Ovis aries: one gene and its partners. The protein of the gene in region 4 interacts with the protein of the main gene of each other region in a biochemical or structural test. Links are inferred from orthologs where the notes say so. Each region holds a gene or a part of one and is shown on either strand. Other genes may lie near its edges.

Region 1 (4,248 bases), on a different chromosome or scaffold from region 4:
TTTTGCCTAAGTATCCTGAAGTTTAATGTCCCATCTGCTACTGAAAACCTTTTCAATTACTTGGCTAAAAAAAGAAAGCATTTTCCAGCCAGAATCCTCCACTCCAGCCATGTTCGTTTTACTGCTTCTACAATACGCTCATTCCCAAGTACAAGCAGTTCTCATACCAAGTCCACTGAACTTAATGCAGTCTCCCAGTTTTGGGAGTTTAACAAATATCATGCTCCTGTAACAAGCCTGTTTCTGATGGTACTTACACATTGGTTTTAAATTTATGTGGCGGGGGCATGGGATTTTTGGCTCGCGTTTCCAGCACTTCCATGTAATGAGGCTTCTTCTGGGGCCTACTCCAGAGGCCGGCCAAGTTCTCAGGACTCTGGTTTCCTTCTGAGTGGTGTTCAGTGGGATCCGCAATTGTGATCCTTTGCAATCTATCAATGAACAGGTTGTCTGAGCTGCCAGGATGATCCTCCACTTGACCTAAGGCACAATGCTGAGGGAGACCCTCACTAGCTTCAGATGAGGAAGGTGCTGGGGCTCTGCTGCTAGAAGGTGGGTGCTTGCTCACTGTGTGTTCAGCCTCAGTTGCCTCAGCATCACCTCCGCGAGTCAGATGTTCCAGTCCCTGTTGTCGTGAGGTTGTCTGAGATGATGTGATGTTAGCTACAGACGAACAGCCAGGAACAGGTGATGAAGTATCAAGTATCTGGTCAGAATTCTGGGCCTTATCTCTGCCCCCATCAACAACTGCAATCGCTTTTTGCCTCTCCTTACAGTCTAAGCTAACAGGATAAAAGAGTTCACTTCTTCCTCTAACTTCTTCACGTTCTGCAATGGCAGCTTTCAGTTTGGTGACAGCGTCTGAGATCTTTTTACCTTTGTCGGGCAATTTGCAAATGAATTTTCTACAAAAGGAAAAGAATAGGTATACGTTACATAGAGCCATGTTTTTAAACTTGAGATATACAAAGTAGTATTCTCAAAGGGAGAAAAATCGACCGTTAAGTCAAAAAACTGATTTCCAGCTGCCGGAAATAAGAGAATCATTACCCAAATACCCCTCAAAACAAGGGACTACAGGATGATTAGGGACTATGTCTTGTTTGTCTCATCTATTAACAATTAGAATTTCTGCAGAAGTATTTTAAGCATGATATTAATATAAGACATGCCCCAAATCAGTTTTTAAAGTGTGATTTCCAAGACCTTCCTGGTGAGGGGAGGTGGATGGATCTGCAAGGTCAGAACTATTTATAATAACTAAGGTACTATTTGTCATTTTCACTCTCTTTTCTTACCATGAGTACAGGGGAGTTTTCCAGAGGCAACATGATATGGATGATAGCATTGTTCTGATGGCTAATAGAATGCGTTTTTGTGTTCTTGTGTTTTAAAGATTCTCACTTGTAACTCCTAAGACAATGATAACTATCAGTCGATATAACACACATACAGCAAGAGCTCTTCAAAATGTTCAGTAAGTCTTCAGAGTTAAAGCGGTCCTGAGGCTAAAAAGTTAACTCACTCATTCTCACAGTCAAAATAGTTGTCTCTACCAGGAAATCCCCAAGTGATCATTTGCCACTTTGGCTAAGTGGCAAAAGTTCTTTTTCTGATTTCCTTTTCTTTAGCCATACAATAAATGTGGAGGGAAGGTTACAGCTCACACCCTCTATTCTTTATGACACTACATTCATTCTCCTAATTCTATTAACATTCCTCCCAGTTGAGAGGTCTGTATTTTCCCAACGTTCTCTTCTCTCTCCAGCCTCATGACCACTTCTCCAGCTTTCAATCAAATGTAATTAACTTTTCCATTAACTAAGCTCCAGTAAGTAAAATCAGTGTCAGACTATTACCCTCCTCCAGTTTTCCTACTTTTATTAATGGTGCTCCATACAGGTTGGAAACTTCAGCCATCTCTGTCAACCATATACTCAAATGATCCTAAGCCTGATCTAGTCTCCCCAATCCCACAGCTACCCTTCTAGTTCACTTTTTTAGAATCCCCTTATTGGAGAACTTCTCTGAAAATACCTCCTAGTCTCTTCTGCCTCTTATTCCTTCAAATTTTCCTGCACCAAACTGCTAAAATAAGCTTCCTAAAAAAATCATTATTTTTACACCTATTCTCTGCTAAAATCCATTAAGTCTAACAGCTAAGTGTGAACCAAACTTACTTTGCCTAAGAAGCCACTCTTTTACCCTACTCTTCCCACTTCCTACAGTTCCTGTAAAAAAATGGGATCTAGAGATGAAACTTACTAGGTGTTTGGGGCACTATTTGGCGGAAAGGGAGCGAAAGGACTGGGGATACAGACCCTCCCCTTGGAGGGCCGACACAGGCACTGAGTAAGTAAAATCAAAGAGGAGCTGAAACGCTGGAGAGCCAGAAACACGGGCGCCCGGCGCCCGGGCTGTACGCGGTAGCTCTGTGACTGTAGGCCGGCCACTAGCCCGTGGGCCTGGAACGGACCTAAGACAAGGTGACCTTCCAGGAAAGAGATCGGGATGGGGGCGGGGAGGGGCCCGTCCCAGGGTTCCCAACGCGAGGAACCCTGCGGTGACTTCGCGGGACCCAAGCTTACACGTTGCGCAAAAGTCTCTCCTGGCGCTTCAACATTTCCCGTAGCTCCGCCAAACTCCGCTGCCCCAAGTCCTCGGGAGTTTGGGGCTCGAAGCCGCGGGGAAGCGAGGACATTCTGCGGGGGCTGAGGCTGGCGAGGCGGTGGGCACTCGGCGTCCTCGGCAGCCCCCGTGGCTGGCGCCAGATCCGCGGCCGGCGGGGACTCCGGCGAACGAGCGGGAGTCGCCATTTTCCCGGAAGAACAAGTCTTCTTCTAGCCGAATCGAGCTTTATTGAAACGCCGGAAATAAACACGGACAGAGTTGAGGGAGTGGCGGCCGGGGCGGGAATCGCGGGGTGACGTCACGCGCCGGCGGGGCGCGCTTTCTAGTTGCTTATTCTTCCTGTGCCTTGGGTCTTGGCTTAAGTATTCAGAAAAAGTGAGTTCCTGGGGCCCTGTCCTGAAGGAGTCTGCTGAGTGAGGGAGGAGAGCAGACATTAATCAATTAACAAATGGAAGAATTGTAAGACGGCTATGGGCACCAAGGAAGGAATAACGAAGAAGTGAAAGACACGTGGAAACAGGAGTGATGAATTGGTTAACCATTAGTGAAGCTGGAGTATGTACCGGGCACGTGAAGCCCTGGCCTATGGCGTGGCCTTGCTAGTTCTGGGTTTAGTGAAGACCTCAAACATTAATGTTGGAGGATCATTCAGAACCATCAGCGTTTCTTAAGGCGGCTTTGTGGCATTTGAAGCAAGACTTTTCCTCGTTTTCAGGACTGCCTCAGGTATTGCAAGATATTTGGTGTCTATTTGATGTCTGGGTTTCTGCTCTCTAGTTGGTTTGGCATTCCTGAATCCTCCTAAAAATACAAAACGCACCCCCGCCCCCCGCCGCCCCAACACACACACTCCTGAGTCCTTGTAACAGTACAAAATGCATCTCCCCAACACACACACACACACACACACACACACACACACGATTTCAAAGGCCCACAAGAGGTGATGATAGTAGGAGGTGCTGCACAACAAACGGAGAACCTCTTTTTCACAATTACCCGTTTTGCCCTTGGAAAAACAAAGGCACAAAAACTGAAGTTTTCCCAGGGCACAAAACTAGTAAGTGAGAACATCATTGCTGTAGACACAAATGCCCAGGTGGTCTTTCTGCCACCCCAATTCAAAAATCTTGCAAAGAGCAAGAAAGTTTTTTAGGCTGTTGAGGAAAGCAGTGTAACTGCTAACTCTTCAGTGTAACACCTAACTCTTCTCTATAGTTCAGGTAAGAAAGCTGGATCCCAAAGAAAAAAGTAGGAAGCATGCTATAGTCTTAACAGACATCAGTTGTGAGGTTTGAAAGACCCTATAACCTCCAACCCCAGTCTCTCCCTTCTTTGATACGGAAAATTTACATTTGCTAGTCCTTTGTAAGGTGCTGTAACAAACAATTCCCTCCCAATCAGAGGGAAGCTCTAGATAAAATATGAGGCTATTTCAGGAAGTACAGCTGAAACTGTGTCTGTATCCTTACAATCTAGTCCATTCTGATCAGTTTAACATATCAAAAGTCTCAACATAAACTCTGCTTTGAAACAAGGATTTCAGTAACCTGCTCCATAGCTTTCTAAGTGAGAAATACTCAAGAAAGGCCCTTGTCAGGTATTTGTCCTGTGGCA
Region 2 (4,267 bases), on a different chromosome or scaffold from region 4:
AGCTTGGTAACCAGGTGCTCCTAACTTGCCTCACAGGAGCTGGCTCTGGGGTGCCCTTCCACTGGCATGGACCTGGGTTCTCGGAGGTGATCTATGGCCGCAAGGTCAGCACAGGGTGCAGGCTGAGACTCTGGGTTCACTGACCAAAATACAAAGCATAACTTTGCTGCTCCCCGCCAACCCCCAGCGCTGGTTCCTGTACCCTCCTGAGAAGACACCCGAATTCCACCCCAACAAAACCACACTGGCCTGGCTCCAGGACACATATCCAGCCCTGACACCATCTGCACGGCCCCTGGAATGCACTATCCAGGCTGGTGAGGTCAGTGGCTGGCAGACGGGCCAGGCTGAGCCAGGCCAAGGACCCCCATCCAACCCATCAACCCACATGTCCCCCCAACCCCTCGCCAGGTGCTGTATTTCCCGGACCGATGGTGGCATGCCACACTCAACCTCGACACCAGCGTCTTCATCTCTACCTTCCTCGGCTAGCCAAAGGGGGTGGCTGGCAAGCCCACCGCACACCAGCACACATCCCTGCAGTACTCACAGGTTTTATTACAGGGACAGAGGTGGTGGCAGCAGCCTCAGCCCAGCCCAGCCTCACCCCCCCTTTCCGGCCCAGAAGGAGGATGAGAGGCGTGTTGCCCAGCAGAACTGATGGGGGTGGGGGTGGGGACACCAGGGTAGGGATCCAGGGACACAAACTATATACAGAAAACTAGGGGCTGCTGCCCCAAGGCCCTCCTGAACTAGGGTACCGGGCAAGGCAGGTGGGTGGCCCATACACCCACCCTGCTCAGTAATCCTCTACCCAGCCATTCTCAGAGATGAAGGCATCGATGACCTCTTTCATGGCCAGGTTGGGGATGAGCTGTTCCTGGGTCAGGGGGCTCCGAGTCACAGGGTCAAAGTGGCCCACGCGCTGCAGTGACAACAGGGCAGAGTCAGGGGCTGCTCAGTGCGCGTGGGCCCTGCTGCCAGCGCCCACAGACCCTCACCTGCAGGTGCTCCTCGATGTCCTTACGGTCGTATGTGATGCCACTGGGCGTGATGCAGGGCTCCCGCATCAGCTCAAAGCTGATCTTGCCGCACAGGTAGTCAGGGATGTCTCGCTTCTGCAGCACACAGGGTTGGATCAGGTCAGGGGCTGGGAAGGGACACTGCTCTAGCTACCCACCGGCCCCAGAAGACGGGCAGCTCACCTTTCTCTTCTCGTCTACCTGGGAGAAGAGCTCGTCCATGTCTGCCAAGTACTTGTCCTGCAAAGAACCAAGCAGCCACTTGTGGGCCTGACACCCCTCTCCCCTCCCCAGACACCGAGACACAGACCCAGCAGGAGCCAGGGCACCTCACATCACAGCGCACGCACACACAGGACCCACACTCGGGCTGGGGCACCCTCACATGCTTGGCCTCAATGCAGGCCTGCTGGGCCCGTACGTGGCTGTCGTCCTCGTCACCCTCGTGGTTCCGCTGACACTCTTCCAGTTCCCTGGGGGTTGACCAAAAGGTGTTCAGAGATGGGTCTGGCCAGGGGCAGTCAGACTCCACTCCAGACTTAGGATCATTCAGGCCCCTTTCCCTCCATCTCCTGCGTGCCAGAATTGGCCTTCAATAAACACTTGTGTTCACACCTCAGAGTTAACCTAAGAGTGGTGACTCGAAGAGGGGGAGCCCACCTCTCACGCTCAGCCACAATGAGCCGTGTGAGGTAAGAGTGCAACTCATTTTCCTGGTGGATGCGTCGCTCCTCGATGCTGTTCCAGCGCTTCTTCTTTGCGATGCGCAGAGCACTGGGGATGTCATCCCCAAAGTTGAGCCGCTGCTCCTTGGCCAGGTTGTAGGCTGGGGGATAGAGCATTTGGGTAAACTTCAACCAGTCCACCCACCTGGTCCCAGGCACCCTGGAACCAGCTAGCCTGTAAGCCCACCTCGCTGCAGGTTGGCAATAGCCTCATCATAGCTTTCCATCTCCAGCTGGCATTGCCCCAGGAAGAAGTGTGCCTTCACAGACTGCCCGTCCAGCTCCAGGGCGCGCCGACAGTCGGCCAGGGCTTGCTCGTGCTGCTGCATCTTCAGGTAGCACAGTGCCCGGTTGGTGTAATACACGGCCACCAAGGGGTTCCGGGTCTGGGGACCAAGGCCGGGCCAGCCAGCATGAGGGAGTGAGCTCAGCCTGCCCACTCCGTCCCAACTTGAGGCCCGCGGTTGGAACCAAGACACTAGCATTTTCTCAGCTTCCAAGCCCCTGGGTTCTGAGGGAGGGTGAAGCCTACGTGAGCCCACTCTCTGGACTCCAATGAGTCTTGTGAAGGTAGTTTTCCCGGACTCATGGAAATCCCCAGCATCGCGTTTGACTCCTCAAGGGGCAGGGATGCCTGGTCCCCAGCCCAGTGGGCCTCGAACACCTACGGTTCCCACCCAGCACAGTTCTCTGGCAGCCCGCACTGGCTCGGGAAAGGCGCGGCCTTGGCCCCAGACCCCAAGCACCCACCCCCTCCCTCCGAAAGTCTGGCGGGCACGGCCTGACATGTTCTGAAGAGGGCGCGCGGCAGAAGCCGCAGCTCGGCCCCTCCCCTGGCTCGGACGCCAAGCCCCTCCCGCAGCGCGGGCGCACTCACGATGGCGCGGCCGTAGCAGGCCGCTGCCTCCGGGTACTTGCGGCCCACGAAGAGCCGGTTGCCCTGCTCCTTGAGCTCCTGTGCGCTCGGGCTCTTCTCGGGGCTGCCGCCGCCGGCGCCCAGCCGTGCGCCGCCCTCCTTCTCCTCCTTGCCCTTCATGGCGCCGCACGGCACCGCCTGGGCTCCGCTCCCAGGCTCCGCGCCCAGCCCGCCCTGCGCCCGCAGCCCGAGCCCGCGATCCGCTCGGGCTCGGTCCAGCGCTCCGCCACCGGAACTTCCGGTCTGCAGGTAGGCGGGGCCAGCGGAGCGGACCGCCGCACGGGTGGGCGGGGCCGTGCGTGCCCCCGGCGCGCTGTGGGGGCGGGGCCGGCAGGGAGGGGGACTCTGGCAACGCGACGCGGCGTCAAGGTTTGCGACGCGCTGGGTCACCCGGGCAGACGCCCGCCCGGCCGCGCTCCGACGCCCCGCCCCCGAGGCCTCGCCTGGCGCGGGGAGATGGCCGCGGCTGGCGGGCTCTGGAGCTGTGAGGACCCAAGCCGCTGGGCCGCCGTCTTGGAGTGCCGCGGGGCGGTGCTGCGGGCGCGCGCGGGCCCCCAGGGGCGGCTGGAAGCGCTGGACCGGTGGTAGGGCGGAGGGGGCAGGGGCGGGCGGGCCGAGCCCCGTGGCCCGGACTCCGTAGCGCCGCCTTCCCCCAGGTACCGAGAGGAGCTGCCCGCGGCCATCGGGGCCCGCGCGGAGAAGCACGTGACACTAGACGAGCTGCAGCGGCTGCTGGCGTGGAAACTGGCGGTAAGGCTTCCCACTTGGGGCGCGGCACAGCCACGTGGGTGGGGCTTCCCAGGGGGCTCACCCTCGTGGCAGTCTTGAGGGGCCTCCCAGCGAGGGCCGCCACCCGTGACACCCGACCCGACCTGGCCACAGAGGGGCCGCTTCCGACCGCGCCTGCAGCAACTCGTGGCCGCCAACTCTCCGGAGCTGGTGGTGCAGCGTTCGGCCGCCGCCTTCCGCCTCCTGCCAGACATGCACGCAGCGGTCATGGCTCTGTGCGCCCTCCGTGGCGTGGGCCCGGCTACCGCCTCGGGTTAGTCGGGAAAGCTGGACCACCCCCGGGCAGGGTCGCTGGCGGAACCTGGCCTGTTAGTGTCCTTATCCATGAAATGGTCCGACGGCCAGATACATGATACAGGAGAGTCGCTGGGGACAGCAGCCCCAGGCCCAGGCGGGGCTGAGTGCTGTCCATTCACTGCCCACAGCGGTACTGGCTGCCGGAGCTCCTGAGGCGGCAGCCTTCATGTCTGAGGAGGCAGTGGCCGCAGTGCCCGGCCTGCCCGCCCTGCAGTACACTGTCAAGCACTACCTGCTCTACCTGAGCCGGGTGCAGGAGCGTGCAACAGCCCTGAGCCAAGGTGCGGAGACCACGGGCGGCCCGGGTGGTCACGGAGAGCTCTCTCTGACCGTAGGAAGATCGGTATCTCCGAGCCCCAGACTCTCTCTGCCCTTCTCTAGGCAGTGCATCTGGGCTGTGGACCCCACACCACGTGGAGACGGCCCTGTGGACCTGGGCTGTAGGGCGGAAGATGTGCCCGGACCTGCTGCCCAACCTGGGTCCCAACCTGGTCCCCGCTGAGGACACCAGGCCAGCC
Region 3 (3,776 bases), on a different chromosome or scaffold from region 4:
GGACTTGGGTGGCTGTTGACAGGAGAGGACTGGGTCACACCTGTTGCCACACTGACCAGCCTGGGGCCCAGACGCTGCCCTGGAGCATCTGCCCTGGCAGCCTCTGTGGGCAGAGGTCAGGGCTGGGAGGGTGCTCAGTAGACAAGAGTACCCAGTGGGACTCACAACCTCAGTGGCCTGGATCCTTCCACCACCACACAGCGTCCTCAGTCATGGGTGGCCTGTGTGGTTCTGAGCTGTCACTCAAGAGTGCTAGGACGCATCCTGGATGAAGCATCTTAGTCTTCGCCCTCTCCACCCCTCAGTCCATTTGCCCCCAGATCAAGTGCCCCCTAGTCTCTGCCTCGTTCACTCCCCAGAGCTGCCAGGATGAGCAATCTTCCCAAGACACATCTCTCGGCTTCCACACCCACCCGCGTCCCCTGAAGCCAGCGTGCACTCTGGCCCTGTGATGCCCTGGGGCAGCAGGGCAGTGGCGGCGAGGTCCTGCCCATGAGGGGAGCTGGGGGCGGCGACTGCAGCCCTGGGAAAGAAGAGTTCACGCGGCAGAGTGCAACCCACATAGTTTATAGAAGAGCAGAGCAGGTGGCGACCTGGCCGATCCGACCAGAACAGAACCCGGAGCACGACTGTGCAGCGCTGGGGCGTGCGCCTCGCTGGAGTCAGTCCCACTCCCCATCGCCCTCAGGGTGCTCCTCGGGCAGCACCTCCAGGTCGTGGAAGTGGAAGTTGGCCATCATGTCCCGCACGGCCAGCATCAGTCTGTTCAGGCCCTGGTCACGGTGCAGACCCCCAGGCCCCCCATCCTCTGGTCGCTCCCCCTGTGGAAACGAGACTCGTCTGAGCCGGGCCTCCAGGCCCAATGCCCAATCTCAGGCTGGTGCCCCGTGGGCTGACGCCACATACCTCCACAGTGTAGTTGGGCAGCAGTGAGCGGAAGAAAAGGGCGATGGTGTTTCCGTGGCTGACGGGGCTGAGCCTGCAGGAGGGAGTCAGGATGTTCAGAAAGGCCCGGTGGGCTGGGAGGGCAGCCCCCATGGAGGCTGGGGCCTGAGGGGGAAGGGGATCTAGAGTGGGGTTGGCCCTTTGGAATGAGGCTGGTTGAGCAGAGTGCAAAGTGGGGCACTGCAGCCGAGCCCCACTGCATCTTGAGAAAAGCTATGTTTCCAAGTGTCCTTCCCTCCGAGTTGTGCAGTGAGAGATGATGCTAGCAAGTGCATCTCGGGGGCCTCCTGCACTTTCTGGGCGCCTGGAACCAGGATGGCTCCCAACTGTCCTTAGTGGGACCACACCCTACATGCCAGCTTGGTTTTGAGCCTTCTGATACTAATCATTAATAATTTTCATCTTAACCCACTGACATTTTAACTGGGGACTGTATTTCCTTATGAATGTGTACCCGAAGTTTTATACCTCAATGGAGGAAAAAAACACTTGGCTCTAGAAAATACGTCCGCCTGAGCCCTGGACATGAGAAAGTCTGTCTGGGTCTCCTAGGCTGGGGACTGTGAGGTGGGCTCTGCGTGAAGTGAAGCACTTACTCACTCAGTGCTAAAGGCCATCAGGAAAGGGAAAAAAGCCTGTCTCTGACATGATTCTGGAGCAGCCTGGATAATCGGGCCTTGGGGCCTCCTTCCCAGCCTCTGGCTGTGCTGGACACTTGTCCCTGGGGCCTGCACGGGTTGAAGCTCCCATGGGAAACCAGCTGCCTCTCATACCCCAGGCTCACGGCTATCTCCTCCAGGTTCTTACATCAGTTCTGACTACATTTACTCCTGGATTCAATACCCACATCCCATTGTATCCACCACCTGCTCCAGAATCTGACAGAGAAATGGCCTTGGGTGGACAGATATGTGAAAACACACGGCCTGCAGAGGCTGACTCTTTTTTCTGAGACCCTCCGAGCCCCAGCACTGACCTCGGAGCAGTGCAAGCCCAAAAGCAAAGCAAGAAGTACCTCTCTGGTCTGACGTAGGAGTAGATGGTGTCCAGTGGGGGTAGAGGGTCGAAGCCCAACACAGACTGTGTGGTCACATCCTACGGGAAGGGACAAAGAGCATGGTCTGCTTTCAACTGACCTAGCTCTGGACTGGACATTTCTGCTGGGGGCGGGCCGCATTCCCTGTCGGGGAAGTCTGGGGCAGGGGCTTCCTCCACCAGGACACTCAGCCTGTCTGCTCTGAGGATCGGGGTGAAGCCGGGACAAGCACATGTGTGGGGATCACAGGGCCTCTGCTCACAGGTGCTGTGACTCCCCCCAAATGTCAGGGCTGCTGGCTACAGGCCATGGGCCCTGAGCCGCCAGGTTACCACTCTGCACCCCATAAGATCACGGAAGCTGCAGGCATGGCTCTGCCTCTCAGGGGGCTCTGCATGGACCATGACCGGGGGGCAGAGCTGCTGGAGGGACAGAGCCTGCAGTCAGCCTGCTCCTTACCGGCGGCAGGGCAGCCACGGCCTCCTTGATCTCAGACAGGACCACGTGCCGGTGGATGTTCCTGGGCGCGCGCTGGTACAGCACCTTGCGCCTGGGGCCGGGAGATGAGGGTGGCGCTGCAGGAGGCCGCGGCCCCGCGAGACAGGCCGGCCCTCCACACTGCCCACTCCCACGCCCTGGCTCACCTGCTCTCACACGCCTCCACAGCGGGGTCCCCGGCGTCCACCGCCTGCAGAACCTTGTGCACGTTCTCCTCCAGCCAGCTCATGGTGGCCGGCTCCTTCCAGAGGAAGTGTGACCTCCCTAGGTACAGGCTCACTAGCTGGCTCAGAGCAGGTGGCTGGCTGTGGGCAGCGGGGACTGTGAGACCCCATGGACCGGCTCCACAGGCCCACTGGTGCTCTGGGGGTCCCAGGCTGTTGGCAACCTAGAGCAGAAGGAGGCTACCCCGAGGGGGCTGCTGCCCTGGGATGCGGCCCCCAGGGCAGGGCACCCTGGCATTTCCTTCTGTACAGCCAGCACCCTTACTAAGAACAAGTTCCCCAATGACAACATAAACACTCGGAGAACGTGTACACCTGTGGACATAGACCTGAGGACCCGCCTTGGTGTGCTGACCAGCCTTGAGGTGCCTGGCTCCCGTCACAGGTCTTTCTTCATTTATTATGAGAAATTTCAAAAGGTAGCAGGTGGCAACACAGGCATCCGGACCAGATGCACAGCTACAGCAACACTATCCGCCCAGCAGACACGCTGCAGTGGCCCCAGGCTGACACCTAGGTGGTTGCTCCCCAGGCCCCAGGCACCTCCAGTCTGTACCTGATCTCGGCGTCAGGTCCGAAGAAGTGGTGCGTGGCCACGGTGGCGTCGGGGCGCACACTGCAGTACTCGAGCAGGGGCATGAGCACTGTGGGGGAGCAGGGCGGCACCCTGAAGCGCTGAGGCCGAGGGGCTCACCCAGGACTCTGGAGCACGTGCGCTGGACGCTGTCATCAGAGACCCTCCCCCCGCACTCTCCCTGGGATGGACAACACTACAGCTGCCCACCTGCCCCATGGGGCTTCCCCATGAAGCGGGTGACCTCCCTGTGCAGGGGTCTCAACGGGGCAAGGTCAGTTCCCCTCAGACCCAGCCCAGCAGCCCCATGCGTGGATGGAGCCAGATCGAGATGAGCAGGAGACCCTGAGCAACCAGGCCACCTGCAGGCAGGCTCGCACCGGGGAGGGAGCCCCTCAGGAACTACACACAGCACAGGACCGCAACACCACCAGGGCCTGATAGGGCAGCGGGCCCTGTTCCCATCCACACAGCCAGACTTCAGGGGCCCATGGAAACC
Region 4 (3,557 bases):
ACTCCTCCCAAACCAAGTTAAAGTTCTATGCCAGTGGTTCTCAAGCTTGACTGGACAGTGAAATCAATCACCTGGAGAGCTTTAAAAAATATGATCCCTGTGTGCCATACCCACAGATTCTGACTTGTTGGTCTGTGTCTATTAAGAGCTCCCCAGGGGAGTTCAGTCACAGCCTGAATGGCAAAACCATGGTTCTTCTGGGCATTATCCCTGAGCAACAGCATATTCAAGGTCAGTGTCTGGATAAGCAGACTCTGAGTCCCGGTCCACAGCCACAGAGCCAGGGAATGTGGACGTTGGTAAGACTGAAACCACTGCTCCTCATGGGATAGTCTGTCCAAGACAGCTAGGTGCTGATCTGGCATTCACAGAATGACTCAAGCGGGTCTGTGGCCCACAGGAGAGGAGGCAGCCACGCTGTCCCAGTGTCCGGACCCTAAGCCAGCAGTTCTGCTGCAGGAAAGGGTCTTCAGTCAGGCTCCTCCAGCAAAGGGTGTCTCCCTCCCCCCACTCCCACCAGGGCATAGCCGCAGGGGCTTGGCCTGCAAGCAAATAGTGCCCTATGCAGAAAACGCAACTACCTGGAGGTCCATCTCAGCCAAGCTGATCAGCATCCGTGCTATAAACCTCTGCCAGAAGCCAACCGGAACGAAGCTCATCTTAAACACTCTCTGAATGGTGTTGGCTGTGGGGTGCCGCATGCCGTGGGTGTCCAGGCCGGGTTTGGACGGAAGCAGATGCGGCAGGAGGTAGCTGAAACACCAAAGAGGGCTGCTGAGCCAAGGCCTGAGCTCTGCTCTGGGGCTCTCACCCCTGCAGGCAGTCTGGCCTGGGGCGGGATCTGCCAAAGCAGCGCAGGTTGCCCGATGCCTTCCTCCCAGGGCCTTTGGAACCATTTTTAGAAAGAGGGGGTAGTTTATATGGTGAGCATAAATACTCCAAGAGAAAACGAAGATGGGCATAGCGAATCAGTTTGTCGAAGTCTCTAAGATAGAGACTAGAACACGGCGAGGGAAGACGTGAAAACATCTGTGGTCATAAACACAGACACAACAAATCACAGTCGGTTCTCTGTAAACCGGGTTGCGATTGGGGAGTTACTTAAAATTAACTTCGGATGGTGAAGGAAAAACAAATACAGCTGCACAGTTCCAAGGACAAGATATCGGGGGTCAGAGAAATGTCTTTGGCCTGAGAAGCTATTTATTGTTCTTGGCCAGTTGAGATAACACAATTACCTTGAAATTTCGAATGAGGCTCTTTGTGCAAAAGAATGATGTTTTATAAGAGCAGTCTTACTCATAAAAGGACTGAACTGCAGTGTCAGTGAGCTGTTCATGACTGTGATCACTTTTAATAAGCTGAAACGAGGGAGGTCCCTCCAATAATTCCCTGAAAACCAGCATCTTCTGTGTGTCCTGGAGGAGCTAAGATGGCCTTGGGCAGAGCCTTGGGTGTGTCCTTAAAGGCTTGCTTTCAGTTCTCTTAATCCTTTAAAATTCCATTAGTGTAGGTCCTATAAAATGTTTTTAGGACTTTCTGAAAGAAACCCCTGAAAACACTATGGAAGGAAAATTCAAAGACAGCCTGGGGGTGGAGTCCCCAGGGTGTCTTCAGCACACGGCCTAATCTCATTGCCATTCTGCTTCCTTAATGGCAGAAGAGTGGGGATGCCAGCCTTGCAGGGTTAGAGAAGAACGGACAGTGGCTGTGTAGGTGAGGTCCAAGGGGACAGATGGTGGCGTTTCGGTCCTTTTCAGCCATTATAGGTCTTGGCCCAAAGGACCTTGCCAATGAGCCCAGCTGGAGTGCCTCTCTCCACAGCCAGGAATTCTCTGGCACATGCCTTTTAGTTCTGAGAAGTCCTTTATCTCTCTGACCTCAAACAGGAGGCCCTTGTCAGTGCCCAGTGAGATCTAGCCTGCTTCTTCTGCCTATGCCATGCTCAGCTTGGGCACATGGGACCCCCTCCGTGGCTGTGCCCTGGGACTTCCCAATTTTTTCCATCTGGCCAGCGTGCCCGAGGGAGGGGGCACACTCTGTACCCAGGTGCCCCAGCACGTGGCACACACAGCAGGTGTTCAATATTTTTGAAGGTACGGATGACTTAAAAGCCAGAATGGCAAGTGAAGAGGTTTAAACTGATGGGCAAAGGAAGCCCCTCTCAATGTGAGCAGAGCCCTGGGCGAAACCACCAGCACTGGCTTTAGAGCGACCACTAACAGGGCAGGGCTGCCAAAGGTGTGGGCTTGGGGAACTAAGAGGGGAGTTCTTCACGTGCCTGCTGACTAGAAAGCCATGAAGACCTGGGCACTGCACGGGGTTTGCACTACGGCGGAGCCAGTCCATGATACGTCCCTGAGGCTGTCTTAGCAGTTGGGCCAGAGCCTTCCCCGAGTGCTGAGAGCCAGTGCATCCCCGCCTGGAAGAAGTACAAACACTCGAAAGTGTAGAGAGAGGTTTAGAAAGGCCCTGAAGGTTTTCCCAGGGACTGCAGGTTGAAAGGAGCAGCAAATGCCTTTGTTTTTGTTGATCATATAAAAGCTTATGGTGCAAAGAGCTGAAACTCCTTGTCTCTGGGGTACAAGGGACCCATTATATCTACACTTAGAGGTAGGTATAGTGCTCAGACACTCCTGACTTTAGATGGAACTAGACACCACTGACTATGAGTACTTAACGCAAAGATAGTAACAATAACAGCATTGATGATCCTGGATGTCCCTGAAGCTCAAAGGTGCAGGAGATACGTTTCATAGTTCACACGTACCCTCTGATTTAATCCTCACATTGACTATAATACTAGTAAGTGATAGTATTATTTCTATTTTACATATGAGGAAAAAAAGAGGCAGTTGCTTTTACAGAGTGAGAGTATTTCCGCATTCCTCTAACCTGCTGATAGAATAATCAGAAAACTGTCAAATTCCGGCAATGCTGTAAACTCACAGGCTGCTTTACCAGGGGCCAAAGTCAAGGACACACCTGGGCCAGGATGGGAGGGGTCATGTGGATTCTGAATTCCCCTTTGGGGTTTCTCTTTTTAGGACTCACTCTTGGTCCCCATGGGGCTGAAGCAGGAAGGACTGAGGCCCCTCCCACAGTCATTAGGCCAAGTGGATATATGGGTGGGAGCTCAGGAAGCGATGGCCCAGAGTTGGCTCCCAAGAGACCCAGACTGTGCTGATGGAATTGTTTGGCTGGCCATAGAGTGGCCAGGCCAGCCCCCGGAGGGTCCCGAGGGTGTTCCCCCAGAGCTCTGGGGTTGAGGGGCCGGGTGGTGCTGTGTTCTATGACAGGCATCAAAAGGGTCTGGGGATTTGGCATCCTGGCCACTGCCTCATGGCCAACATCAGCATCAGACCCAGGAAACAGCTGAGACTGAAGTAGAGAAAGGAGGCCCTGAGAACCAAGCCAGAGTGCCGTTAGACTGAACCCACATGCCCCTCGAGTCCCTGCCCTCCCTGCATTTTGAAACTGGGCTGGATAGTTAGCATGCACACTTTTGTACCTACTCCATTTTTACTCATCAAATAACCAATCAACCGCTCAAAGCA
Region 5 (3,997 bases), on a different chromosome or scaffold from region 4:
GTCCTTGCTATAATACTGCAGGGGGTGGGGCAGGGCAGAGGCAGCCGTGAGTGTGACCCCCCACATCCGGGGAGCCCCTGCCTCCCATCCCCTTCCCAGGGGGTTCTCCAGAGGGGTGGGCGGGCGCTGAAGAGGAAGAGAGGGGGTGGGTTCCCACAGGACTCTCTAGGCTGGTTTCCATGGAAACAGGAGGATGGGGGTGTGTGTCTTGGGACTGGTGTCAAACTGGAGGTTCCTGGGTATCCCTGGAGATGGGTCGGAGTGGGGGAACTGTGGTCGGTGGTCCAGGGACCAGCGCCTCCTTGTCCACACTGGGGAGCATGAGCCTCTGGGGGGGTCCCATGTCTCCCCAGCTGCTGGGACAGGCTGAAGCCTGGCCGCCAACATCTCTACACCGGAGGCCTGGGCGGCCGCACCTCCACCATAGCCATGAGGTTGCAGAAGCAGGCCTCCTCGTCGATGGTCAGGCGGCCGTCGCGGTGCAGCACGCGGTAGTGGATGACGTCGCTGCCGAAGCTCACGCACAGCACGTAGTCACCCGGGTGCCGCGCGGACTCCCGCACCAAGAACAGCCCGTCCTCGGGCGGCTGCAGCTGCTGCACCGCCTCCTGGCCCGAGATCTTCCCGTGGAACCACCTGCGGCCGGTGGAAGGGCGGGCTGGGTGGGACTGGCCGGGCCCTGCTGACCCCACCCACGTCCCAGGGGCGCTTCCCCACGACATACGGCATGAGGCTGAGCTTGGGGTCCGCCGAGAGGGCCTCGCGCTCCCGCAGCGCCCCAGCCGCCAGCAGCCCCTCCTGCCCGCTGGCGTGGTGCTTGGCACGGTACCAGCTCTTGTTCTGCCGGGAGGGAGCCAGGGGTCAGTGGGAGGAGATGTTTCCTGGAGGAGCACCCCCCTCTCTCCAAGCACATTCCCCCCTACTCACTTCGCAGGCCTCAAGGATGGTGACCACGTCGCCCTTGCAGAAGGCCAGCTCCCCGGGTTTGGGGCGCGTGTGCTCACACTTGGTGATGCACTGGGTGCCAGGGGCCCAGCGCCTCTGGGGGGTAGTGGCGAGAGTGGGAAAAGGGTCATGAGAGAGATGGTGGAGGTGGGGGGTGGGGCCCAAAAGAGAGAGAAAAACTGTATTGAGGCAGAGACCCAGAACAGACCACAGGAGAAAGGAGATGGGGGTGGGGGGTGCGCAGAGCACCCAGTAGGGGAAACGGAGTCACAAACAGAGGGACCCCCCGGGGCAGAAGATGGGAGGAAAGAGTGGGAAAAAACACCAAGTGACCGAAAAAGACCTGCGGACACTGCCTAAGGGGACACGGGTCAGATGGCCCCCCACCCCCACCCTCCAGCCCCGTGGAGCTGAGGCCCTGTGGACGGAGGAGAGGAGGGGCCTAGGCCCAGGCACCCAGTTGGGAGTACTCACTGTCGGCATCCTGGCTGAGATGGGTGAGGGGTGCCAGGCGTGGAGGAAGCGAGGGCTTCCCTGGGGAGGGGCAGAGACCAGCTGGAGAGCTCAAGATTCAAGCCAGGCTGGGGGCCCAGGGGCCATGACTATAGCTTCCAGCCTGGACCAGGTGGAGGCGACAGTCGGGCGGGCTCCCCCAAACCCCCAGGGGTTGTGGGGGGCCCAAGGGCTGGATCCCCAAGCCCCTTAGGGGAGGTGGTCTTTCCCTGGGAGAGTTCCTTAGCATGGAGCCTGGCTGCGCCGTCATCCCCAAAGGGAAACAGAGGCACAGGGCAGGCTCAGAGTGAGTGGCCAGGGGCTGGCTCAGGCCCCAGCAGCCCACACTGGGGGCGCTTGGAGCCACTAAACGGAGCCTGGTTCTTCCTCTTTTCTGGTAAAGTAGGCAGGGGTACATGAGGAAACAGAGGATGATTCAAGGTCATTCCCAAGAATCTCTGACCCTGGCGGGGGTGAGGCCCGGCAGTGCCGCCCTGCTGGGCTCCTCTGGCTGCCGGCTGGGTCTCTGATCTGACTCCCCCCCACACCGCTCCCCCCTACTCCCCAACCGAGGACAGAGGACAGAAACAAAGTCCCGCACAGTTGCTGGGGTGGGGGCATTTCTGTCCTCTGCTTTCCCCACGGATCCCACCAGGTGGCGAGAGCAGTGGGACAGGTGGGGAGGAGTGAGTCTCCACCCTAGAAATCCCCAGCCCTCTGTGTACTCACACGCATACTGATCCATGTACACACGAGAACACACAGAAACACACAGGGCTTGGACACAGGTGGACACAGGCACGCGGGTATGCAAGCAAAAGCAGTTTCTCCTAGAGACAGTTGTGCACACACGTCTCACGTGTGAACACACGCACAGACATTCGGAAACGTGTGTGCCGCCCCCCCCAACCCACACTTGAACACCTGGGCGCCACACGCTGGGCCACCCGGGCACGCAGGGCTACACGCAGGGCCGCGCACACGCAGCGCAGAGACACGCGCGCACATCCCTCCACGTGGACGCGCGGATACACACACCCAGGGGTTGCAGACGCGCATACCCGCACCCACAAAAATACCACCCCACCCGACTCCTGGGCGCATCCAACCATACCCGCCCCAGCCGCGTACCGGCCGCACGCCCCGGACGCGGGCGCTCGCACACTGGCCCCTCCCTCGTTCGCCCAGCATCCCCCTACCCGCTGGCCCTTGGGGCCCCCCCCACTGTCCTACGGTCTTTCCCCACTATCCCCTCCGGCGCCCTCACCTGTTCAGGGGTCGCCCCTGGGCCGCACTCCGTGTCCGCCCCCAGGAGGGCCCCCGCGCGCCGGCTGCGCACCCCGAGGCGGCCCCGGCTGCACAACTTGGAGCAAGTTGCTGCGTTTCCTCATTTTGGGGGGGAAGGGCTGGAATCGGGGTGGGGGGAGCGGGAGGCGCGGCAGCTTGAGCGGCCCCCGCGGGTCCTAGCGCCGGCCGCACTGCGGTCTGCTCCGCGCGCCGCCGCCACCGGCGGCCCCTCCCCGCCCCGCCTCCGGGGCCCCCGGCGCCTCCCGCGCGGCGCTGTCGAGATCCACGCCACTTCCCGGCCTGGCGCCGCGGGGCGCGCAACCCGCGCGTTCCGGGAATCCACGCCTCCCGGAGAGAGGACAGCGCTGGCACAGGGAGGGGAAGGAGAGAGCTTCCCGTCTGGGCAGGTAAGTAAGTCTCAGAGTCCAGACAACTCAGTGGACCCTTCTGACTCCAACGCCCTTAGCCAACTATAACAAGAGTCTTATTTCAGTACCTGGCCCTAGGAAAGAGCTGTTGGTGCCTGGCACAAAGAAAGCCCTCAAAATGTCAACCACCATGAATATTATCATCATCCTTGAAATTAAGGGAGAATTGAGACTAAAGGGGAAAACATCACCTGGAACTGGAAGCCTCCTGGCAGAGCAACACTGGGCCTCCCCAAGGCCAACCCAGCTCGAGCCTCGGTTTCCTCCTCTGTAGGGTCAGGCAGCACCAGCTTCCAGCTCAGAAGGGAGTTCCGTGAGCATCTGAAGGCCTGGGGGCCCAGCCCTTGCCTTTCCTCTGTGAGCTCACTTCAAATACTTTCTAATGGATGAATGAATGAGTCTGTGAGGACAAGGATGAAGCTGACCTTGGGAGGGTGATGCACCAAGATGCCCAGAATTTAATTTTCTGGTACCCCCAAAGTCTAAGTGTCTGTGCACCAAGATGTCGTGTGATTTCTGGGAATAGAGACCAATGAGAAGAATCAGGGGCTTCCCCAGTGGCTCAGAGGATAAATAATCTGCCTGCAAAGCGGGAGACACAGGAGAAGTGGGTTCAATACCTGGGTCAGGAAGATTCCCTGGAGGAAGAAATAGCAACCCCCTCCAGTATTCTTGCCTGAAAAATCCCACGGACAGAGGAGCCTGATGGGCTACAGTTCATGGGGTGGCAAAGAGTTGGATACGACGAGCAGCTAAGTGCAAGACAAGAATTAAAGATATTCAATATCGTGCAATATTATGCACCAAAAACTAGGAAACTGTGTATAAGAAAATGCTAAAGTCTC
Region 6 (4,011 bases), on a different chromosome or scaffold from region 4:
TAGTCTGAGGAGACACTCCTGCTGACAAAGCAAGAGACTTTACTGGGAAGGGACACCTGGGCGGAGAGCAGGAGGGTAAGGGAAGACCAGGATGGACTGCTCTGCCTTGAGGCTCACAGTCTCCGTTTTACGGTGATGGGATTAGGTTCCAGGTTGTCTTTGGCCAATTGTTCTGACTCAGGGTCCTTCCTGGTAGCACAGGCCTTGTTCAGCCAAGATGGATGCCAGTGAGATGGATTCTGAGAGGTGGTTGGACATGTGGTGTCACTTTTTGACCTTTCCCGAACTCTCCCAGTTGGTGGTGGCTTATTAGTTTCCTGTTCCTTACCAGGACCTCCTGTCCTAAAACAACTCCTGCAAACAGGAACTATGGTGCCTGGCCAGGGTGGGCAGTTTCAGTGTGCTTACCCTACCAAGCTGGGAAGCTCCCTGCCCGGGGACTTCAATCACTTCTGCCCCAGCAGGCGGGGCTTAGGGAGCCCCAGGGCTCCTCAGCATGCACCCCCACCCAGTTCAGCGCTAAGAGTGGACTGGGACTATGGCCCCCGCTGTCCTGCTCTTCTAGAGGCAGGCCGACGGCAGCAACCTTGGATTCCAGTGCTCAGCCGGTGGCAGAACGATGGGGCTGGCATGCCTGCAGGGGAGGATTCGCCCTGTGATGCCAGGGCTCAGCTGAGGCCCCAGAGGCCGGCGCTGGTCGAGCCTGGAGCTGGCGGCGGGAGCCCCGCCGGGCGGCGCTGCCAGGGGCGCTGGGGGAAGCCCCGGCGCAAAGTGATCTTGAGACTTCTTCCCTCTTGGGGCGGGCAGGCTGAGCCTGGACTCCACGGGCGCCGCCCCCGCGCCGGGGACCGGGAGTCCGCGCTCCACTCGGGTGCGCTCGGGCCGTCGGGCCTCCGGGCCTCCGGGACCCTTGGTCCGCTCGGGCCGTGGGCGGGGCACGCTCTGGGCGCGCGGCTATTGGGCGGTGGCTGGGGCGCGCGCCGCCGCGCCCCCGCGCACGCTCCTTGCGCCTCGCAACGATGCGCCGGGGCGCCGCTACGGCTGTGCCGCGACGCGCGCCGGCGATTGGTGGAGGGGCGGGGGCCGGGGCGCGGCTGCCCGCGGATTGGCCGCGCCGAGCGGGGGTGGGCCGCGCACGCACTTAAGGGGCGGCGTCCGGGCCGCGGGTGCTGGTGCCAAGATGTCGGCGGCGGCGGTGCCGGAGCTGAAGCGGATCAGTCGGGTGGAAGCGATGCGCCTGGGCCCCGGCTGGAGCCACTCGTGCCACGCTATGCTGTACGCCGCGAACCCGGGTCAGCTCTTCGGCCGCATCCCCATGCGCTTCTCGGTGCTGGTGAGGACGCGGGCGTGCGGGCGGCCGGGGAACGGGGCACCGCCGCTCGGACCCGCGCCCGTGACCCGGCGCTCCGTTGCAGATGCAGATGCGCTTCGACGGGCTGCTGGGCTTCCCCGGGGGCTTCGTGGACCGGCGCTTCTGGTCGCTGGAGGACGGACTGAACCGGGTGCTGGGCCTGGGCCTGGGCTGCCTCCGCCTCACGGAGGCTGACTACTTGAGCTCGCACCTGACCGAGGGCCCGCACCGCGTCGTGGCGCACCTGTACGCGCGGCAGCTGACGCTGGAGCAGCTGCACGCCGTGGAGATCAGCGCGGTGCACTCGCGGGACCACGGCCTGGAGGTGGGGCCGCCGCCCGGGCCCCGGGCCCCGCCCCCCGCCCCGGGGTTTGGCTCTGGCCCCGCGGAAGGCACCGATGGGTAACACGTCCCCCTGAGGGTTCCCTGGCCGGGCTGGGAGGGTCACGCTGTCTCAGCTTCGGGGTGGGGAGAGGGACCAGGGGCCGGGCAGGGTGGGAGGCGGGCCGGGGCGCCCTCGGGGCTGTGTTCCATCTGCCTTGCTGCCTGCCATTGCCAATCCTGGGAGTGGGGGCGTGGGATCGGTGGGAGGCTGGGAAGGGGCGGTGCCTGCCCCGGGGGGTGTGAACTGCAGAGTACAGAAGTCTGGGTTCTCGTGGTGGGGGCGCGACGGTTCTTTCTAGTTGTGGGTTTCATCGCCTAGAAGGCCTGGGGGTGACACGGGGTGTTTGGGATTCATCAGGTGGAAGAGGGAGCATGGGGTCTGGACTGGGGGCTTCGCCAGGGACTGAGGGCTAGGACTTGGGGGCGGGGTACGTGCATGGGGGCAGGGGTTGAAACTCGCTGGGGGAAAGGAGGAGCTGTATTTTCCCGAGGGAGCCGGTTGCCCCCCACCCCCGCCAGGGCCTCACATTATGTCCTGGTTCAACCTGGCTGCCTTACCCCCAGCCTAGTGGCTCATCAGCCCCTCCTGCAACGGCCCTGCCGTCCCCAGGGCCCTGGTTCCAACCCTCATCCCCTGTCCGCAGGTACTGGGACTCGTCCGTGTCCCTCTGTACACCCAGAAGGACCGAGTCGGGGGCTTTCCCAACTTCCTGAGCAACGCCTTCATCAGCACAGCCAAGTACCAGCTCCTGTTCGCCCTCAAGGTGCTCAACATGATGCCGGAGGAGAAGCTGGCTGAGGCCCTGGCTGCCGCCACGGAGAAGCAGAAGAAAGCCCTGGAGAAGCTGCTCCCGTCTTCCTCCTGAGGTGCCTCCTGTACCCTTTTGCCCCTGCCCCCCTTCCCCAGTTCTGTCTGCCTGTGGGCTGTGTTCCTGCAGGCCTGTCTTCTAGCATGTGCTACGTTTGCCCCACCTGACTGGGGGAGTGGGCACCTTGTCATTTCCAGTGCCCTGAGCAGTTACTGGGGGGTGGCCTGGGCACACCCATGCTGAGGCACATTCCACACATCTCACTGTGGACTGGAGGGGGCGGGGGGCCCAGGGGCTGTCTGACGCCTGTTGGTGCACGCACAGGGCCCTGGAGAAGCTGGTTGGTTCTCAGGGCAGTTTTATTCTTGAGGAGGCCCACCACTGGGTTGAGTCTTTCCTGCATCTTGCCCTGAGCCAGCCCCAGCCTGAGCTAGGTGTGACACTGTGAATTTTGGTTGTTAGCTTTACTTGCGGGTACCTCCTTGGGTTTGGTCCCTGTGGACAGGCAGGGCCATGGGGCCCAGGTGTAGATGCAGCTGCTGGAGGGACAGGGAAGCTGTGTGTTCTTCGGTCCTGGCTATAGGCCTGGGGTAGACGCAGGTGTCCTTTCCCTGCTTCCCAGGGACTGAGGGCTGGGGCTGAGCCTGATTGGTGCTCTGGGCCCTTGAGATTGGAGCCCAGGCCGCCTGCCCCTCCCAGGCAGGGTGCGGCCACCTCCCTGTGGGTACTGTGGCCCTGCCCGCTGTGGACACTGGGCCATGAGCCTGATCCGGTGGTTTCTCCATGGAGAGTGACAGGCCTTCCGCCCCTCTCCTGGTCTGGGTGGCTCTGCTCTGGCCTGCTTTGAGAGCCTCCCCCTCTGTTGGCAGCACCCTCCGCGGGCACCCCCAGGAGACGGTCTGGCAGCACCGGCTGAGTGTGCAGTGAGAGTGGAGCCGCCGGGTCAGGAGGGTCGCCACTGGCGGTCTCCTAGGTATGAAAAGACTTCTCAGTGATGCTGAGGTTTCCGTGGTACCAGCCTGGCTGGTAAGGACAGCAGGTTCCTGCCCCAGCCTGGGCACCCGCCTTGGAGCCTTGGTGCAGCGCTGGCACGTGTGGGCAGGAGCACTGGCTCTGTAATAAAACACCTGAACCTTGTTCCTCTTATTTTCTGGGGCGTGCTTCACTTGCTAGGTAGCTTTGTCGGGAGGGGCTCTGTGCACAGGTGGTCCTGCCACAGGGCCAGGGATGGGGCAGCAGAGGTCACCTGTCTCTGCGCTTGTTACGTGGCAGATGGCCCTGCCCTCCCCAGCGCCGCCCTCCCCTTGCTGTGCCTCATCAGCCAGGACCGCAGGCCAGCACTGAGCCCGCACCACCGGAGTGCAGGTTTTATTTTCCCACAAATGGCCTACGCGGCTTAGGGGCCCCAGGCCTCCCCACTTGGGCGAGCCTCCGCGGGGCATGGGCACGCTCCCCGTGGCCTTGCCG
Region 7 (3,121 bases), on a different chromosome or scaffold from region 4:
CGTGTTCAGCTCTGTGTGACCCCACGGACTGTAGCCTGCCAGGCTCCTCTGTCCCTGGGATTCTCCAGGCAAGAATACTGGAGTGGGCTGCCATTCCCCTCTCCAGGGGATATTACTGACTCAGGGACTGAACCCAGGTCTCCCGCACTGCAGTGGATTCTTTATGGTCTGAGCCACCAGGGAAGCCCCATTTATTTGCAAATGTCACTGCCCAGCTACAGAGAGGCTATGAGCTCTGACCAGAGAGAAATGGTGATAAAATCTACAAGCAAATTCCAGAACTTTCACGGCTGGACCATGTGATTTCCCGCATGAACGAGGCTACTCACGGTGGCAAAAGTTGAGTAGAAGAGCTTCTTCTCCAATTTAACGCCCTCTGCTAATGTCATTTCAAAAGCTGAAAAAGGAAACCCTGCAGTGAGGAGCTGAGACACAGACTTGGGAGTGCAGCACTTTCTCCAGAGGCAGGAATCAGCCTGGGGACCGACGTGCACTCTGATGTCATGGGATTAAAGTGTAGCCTCCCTCTCCAGGGTGTCGCCTCGGCTGCAGCCCAGTGAACAGCTGCTCCCGGGCTCCCCTGTGTCCTGTGTGGGGACCGGCGTGGAAGGTGGGATGGAAAACTGTCCAGTCACAAGGGGGCTGAGGAAGCCCAGGAATGTGGACTCTAGAAGCACGACAAATAAGTACGGACGACACCGAAAACGGAGGTGTGGGCAGAACGGAGCGAGGCCCAGGTTAAGTCTGCAGCAGAGGCGAGCGGGCGCGAGGCTCATGGAAGATTTTGCAGCAGCATCTGCAGCCAGGTCCCGTGACCAGCGCCAGGCGGTGACAGGTGCCCCGGGCCTCACCACACGCTCCATGCACTTACGGGTGAGCCCAGGGAGCAGAGCCAGGGTTGGGGCAGTGTGGCCCTCCAGGTACACTCACTGCCCTCACAAGCGGAACAAGCAAAGGGACAGCCTCACTCCAATGCTGAGACGAAATCACCGTGTTAACATGTAAGCGATTCTCAAGAGGGGTGGTCAGAGCTGCTCTGCTGGTCAAGAGTGGCTGCTGAGCCCAGACCCTCAGCCAGGAGGGCAGAGGTGCCCCTGGCTCACCCCTGGACAGTCAGGCGCAGCTGCAGCAGAGAGGAACTTCTTCCTCCCAGGTTCTGCAGGGGACCCTTGCCCCTTGCTCGCCAGCACTGGCCCCCAGGCTGGCCCAGTTCTCAGGTCCTGCTTCCAAGGGGAGCTCAGACCAGTTCAACAGAATTTGTGAGCAAGCAGCTAGAGACTAGAACGCAACAAAGAGCCAAAATCGAAATACTGAGAACCCTAACAATTTCTGTCCAGATCAATCGAGACGCACAGTTCAGACCCCAACTGTCAAGTCTTGCGACTGCCCCGTGCGGCCTCCCCTCCCTCCCCTCCCCCCTACCTGCGTTCACCGACTCTTTGGCCATCGCTGTTACAATCTTAGAGTTGCTGGCAATTTTTTCTGCACATTGGATGGCTTCTTCAACCACTGTCTCAACAGGAAAAACTTTGCTTACAAGACCTACAACACAAAAAGGTAAGCAGCATGTGGAAACAGCCGGTCCTAGTTCTCTGTCACAGCGCAGGCCTCCACCAGACACAGGCAAGGGTCCTCAGCGAGCCCTGGTGGGGCTGCCACCCTTGGCTGTCGAGGTTACGGGGCTCTTACAGCCAAAGGTCACTGAGGGGCCCGGAGCGGGCCTGCCTGCAGGGTCTTGGAGACCCCCCACCGTTCACGTAGGTTCTGAGAAGTGCGACGGTCTCACTGTTAGTCTTTAATCCACGTGGACATCTGAGCCACTCTGCTGTGCGTGGTGGTATTTCAAACAGACACAGGCAGTGAGTATCCTGGACTCGCAGGACGCCAGAAGGCTCTGTGCTAATCACTGTGGGAGTCCCTGGGTGAGGCCCTCCCCTCTCCACTCAGCTCCCAAGGGGGCAACTCCATGGGGTGGCCCCAGCCTATACCTGCTTGCTTGGCATCCTGGGCTGAGATCCGGTCACCAGTGAGGACCATCTCCATGGCCAGTGACTTTCCAACGGCACGGGTCAGTCTCTGGGTGCCCCCTGCACCTGCAGGGGCAGAGGGCTGCTGGGCATGCCGCGCTGTGGCCAAGAAGCCACAGACAGGCTGCTGGCAAGTGTCTAGGGCCTGAAGACCTACAGCACTCGGCTGGGGGTGGGCAGAACTGGGAGAAACCCAGATATCACAAGGGAACCTCCTTCCCACACTCACTCAGGCCTCTGCCTCGTGCCCTGGGGCCCTTGTACCAGCGCCTCTCGTGCAGGAGTCAGACTCTGGATGGATGCCTGGAGCTCGCAGACCTTGATCTGACCCACCCTGGGGGGCAGCTGGGGGCAGCCTCCGATCACAACTGGCTCTGCTCGCAGAGTGGGACGGGGGCAAGGCTCCTGCCTCACGGGCCTGGGGATGTGCTCCTCTCCCAGGCTCTTCGGGTGTCTAGCCCTACGTGGACTTGGCCTCCACGGGCCCTGCCCCCGCCCACTCAACAGCCTCTGACTGGAAAGACCGGTCTGCCCGTTCACCTGCCCACAGTGAACCCCAGGGCTGCCAGGGCGAGGCGAGTGGCCACATGAGGGAGGCACCAACGGCCCAGCAGACTCGAGCACTGCCTCAGCACGGTGGGGACCTTGGGCACTGGGACAGGGAGAGCCTGGCGGTCCCCTCAGCTGACCCCACCCTGCCCACTCCCTGGCCTGCTGGCCTGGGAGAGACGCTGGGCTCCCGGCTCTACACTTGAGGTAGAGACTTTGTGGGGACACAGCCTGTAGCTCTCGTCAGGTGGGCCGAGGGGCAGAGGCATCACTTTTGGCCTGCCGCTCCTGTCGCCCTCCCGCGGGGGATGTGCTTCCCTGCTCTGAACCTGCTGAGGCCACGGGTCTCGCTCTGGCCACTGGAACAGGAGCCCTCGGTGCTGGCCCGTGGTCTCCGTGTTTCCTTCTCCAAGCTGCTGACCTACAAGGACCCACCCCGGACGCTCAGCAGCAAGAGTCACTGCGGCCGGAAGCCAGCGTGCGGCCAGTCCAGAGGGGCTGGCAGGGCCCCAGGCCCCCAGGCCCCGCCCACCCCACGGGGAAGG

The links.
Region 1: the proteins of LRRK1 (region 4) and POLR2M form a complex in vitro, tested with the Homo sapiens proteins (2 studies listed by BioGRID and IntAct, with this or other methods). The link is inferred for Ovis aries from reciprocal best matches to the Homo sapiens genes LRRK1 and POLR2M.
Region 2: the proteins of LRRK1 (region 4) and STUB1 form a complex in vitro, tested with the Homo sapiens proteins (2 studies listed by BioGRID and IntAct, with this or other methods). The link is inferred for Ovis aries from reciprocal best matches to the Homo sapiens genes LRRK1 and STUB1.
Region 3: the proteins of LRRK1 (region 4) and TCF25 form a complex in vitro, tested with the Homo sapiens proteins (2 studies listed by BioGRID and IntAct, with this or other methods). The link is inferred for Ovis aries from reciprocal best matches to the Homo sapiens genes LRRK1 and TCF25.
Region 5: the proteins of LRRK1 (region 4) and MATK form a complex in vitro, tested with the Homo sapiens proteins (2 studies listed by BioGRID and IntAct, with this or other methods). The link is inferred for Ovis aries from reciprocal best matches to the Homo sapiens genes LRRK1 and MATK.
Region 6: the proteins of LRRK1 (region 4) and NUDT16L1 form a complex in vitro, tested with the Homo sapiens proteins (2 studies listed by BioGRID and IntAct, with this or other methods). The link is inferred for Ovis aries from reciprocal best matches to the Homo sapiens genes LRRK1 and NUDT16L1.
Region 7: the proteins of LRRK1 (region 4) and ECHS1 form a complex in vitro, tested with the Homo sapiens proteins (2 studies listed by BioGRID and IntAct, with this or other methods). The link is inferred for Ovis aries from reciprocal best matches to the Homo sapiens genes LRRK1 and ECHS1.

What each region holds. Positions count from the first base shown.
Region 1 is NC_056060.1:50,699,588-50,703,835, forward strand, and holds the start of POLR2M (protein GRINL1A), read right to left. Parts: upstream 2,836-4,248; 5' UTR 2,702-2,835; coding exon 2,589-2,701; intron 906-2,588; coding exon 258-905; intron 1-257.
Region 2 is NC_056077.1:1,117,789-1,122,055, reverse strand, and holds STUB1 (E3 ubiquitin-protein ligase CHIP), read right to left. Parts: upstream 2,784-4,267; coding exon 2,625-2,783; exon of another isoform or gene 2,619-2,624; intron 2,134-2,618; coding exon 1,935-2,133; intron 1,849-1,934; coding exon 1,683-1,848; intron 1,642-1,682; exon of another isoform or gene 1,496-1,641; coding exon 1,408-1,495; exon of another isoform or gene 1,263-1,407; coding exon 1,206-1,262; exon of another isoform or gene 1,119-1,205; coding exon 1,002-1,118; exon of another isoform or gene 926-1,001; coding exon 800-925; 3' UTR 539-799; downstream 1-538. Other genes in the region: JMJD8 (jmjC domain-containing protein 8), read left to right, coding at 37-104, 188-322, 412-492; uncharacterized protein LOC101103616, read left to right, coding at 2,782-2,912, 3,320-3,413, 3,546-3,705, 3,878-4,030, 4,131-4,267. UniProt on the Homo sapiens protein: E3 ubiquitin-protein ligase which targets misfolded chaperone substrates towards proteasomal degradation.
Region 3 is NC_056067.1:14,244,938-14,248,713, reverse strand, and holds the end of TCF25 (ribosome quality control complex subunit TCF25), read right to left. Parts: intron 3,348-3,776; coding exon 3,260-3,347; intron 2,785-3,259; coding exon 2,626-2,784; intron 2,532-2,625; coding exon 2,441-2,531; intron 2,041-2,440; coding exon 1,961-2,040; intron 980-1,960; coding exon 907-979; intron 822-906; coding exon 663-821; 3' UTR 552-662; downstream 1-551. UniProt on the Homo sapiens protein: Component of the ribosome quality control complex (RQC), a ribosome-associated complex that mediates ubiquitination and extraction of incompletely synthesized nascent chains for proteasomal degradation.
Region 4 is NC_056071.1:4,897,975-4,901,531, forward strand, and holds part of LRRK1 (leucine-rich repeat serine/threonine-protein kinase 1), read right to left. Parts: intron 754-3,557; coding exon 582-753; intron 1-581.
Region 5 is NC_056058.1:17,992,023-17,996,019, reverse strand, and holds the start of MATK (megakaryocyte-associated tyrosine-protein kinase), read right to left. Parts: upstream 2,832-3,997; 5' UTR 2,705-2,831; intron 2,268-2,704; 5' UTR 2,173-2,267; coding exon 2,167-2,172; intron 1,562-2,166; exon of another isoform or gene 1,480-1,561; coding exon 1,420-1,479; intron 1,042-1,419; coding exon 928-1,041; intron 841-927; coding exon 725-840; intron 637-724; coding exon 417-636; intron 16-416; coding exon 1-15.
Region 6 is NC_056077.1:4,365,127-4,369,137, forward strand, and holds NUDT16L1 (tudor-interacting repair regulator protein), read left to right. Parts: upstream 1-1,168; 5' UTR 1,169-1,180; coding exon 1,181-1,333; intron 1,334-1,415; coding exon 1,416-1,676; coding exon of another isoform or gene 1,677-1,753; intron 1,754-2,379; coding exon 2,380-2,601; 3' UTR 2,602-2,602; intron 2,603-3,413; 3' UTR 3,414-3,690; downstream 3,691-4,011. UniProt on the Homo sapiens protein: Key regulator of TP53BP1 required to stabilize TP53BP1 and regulate its recruitment to chromatin.
Region 7 is NC_056075.1:51,217,334-51,220,454, forward strand, and holds part of ECHS1 (enoyl-CoA hydratase, mitochondrial), read right to left. Parts: intron 2,094-3,121; coding exon 1,989-2,093; intron 1,543-1,988; coding exon 1,238-1,542; 3' UTR 398-1,237; coding exon of another isoform or gene 330-397; 3' UTR 1-329. UniProt on the Homo sapiens protein: Converts unsaturated trans-2-enoyl-CoA species ((2E)-enoyl-CoA) to the corresponding (3S)-3hydroxyacyl-CoA species through addition of a water molecule to the double bond.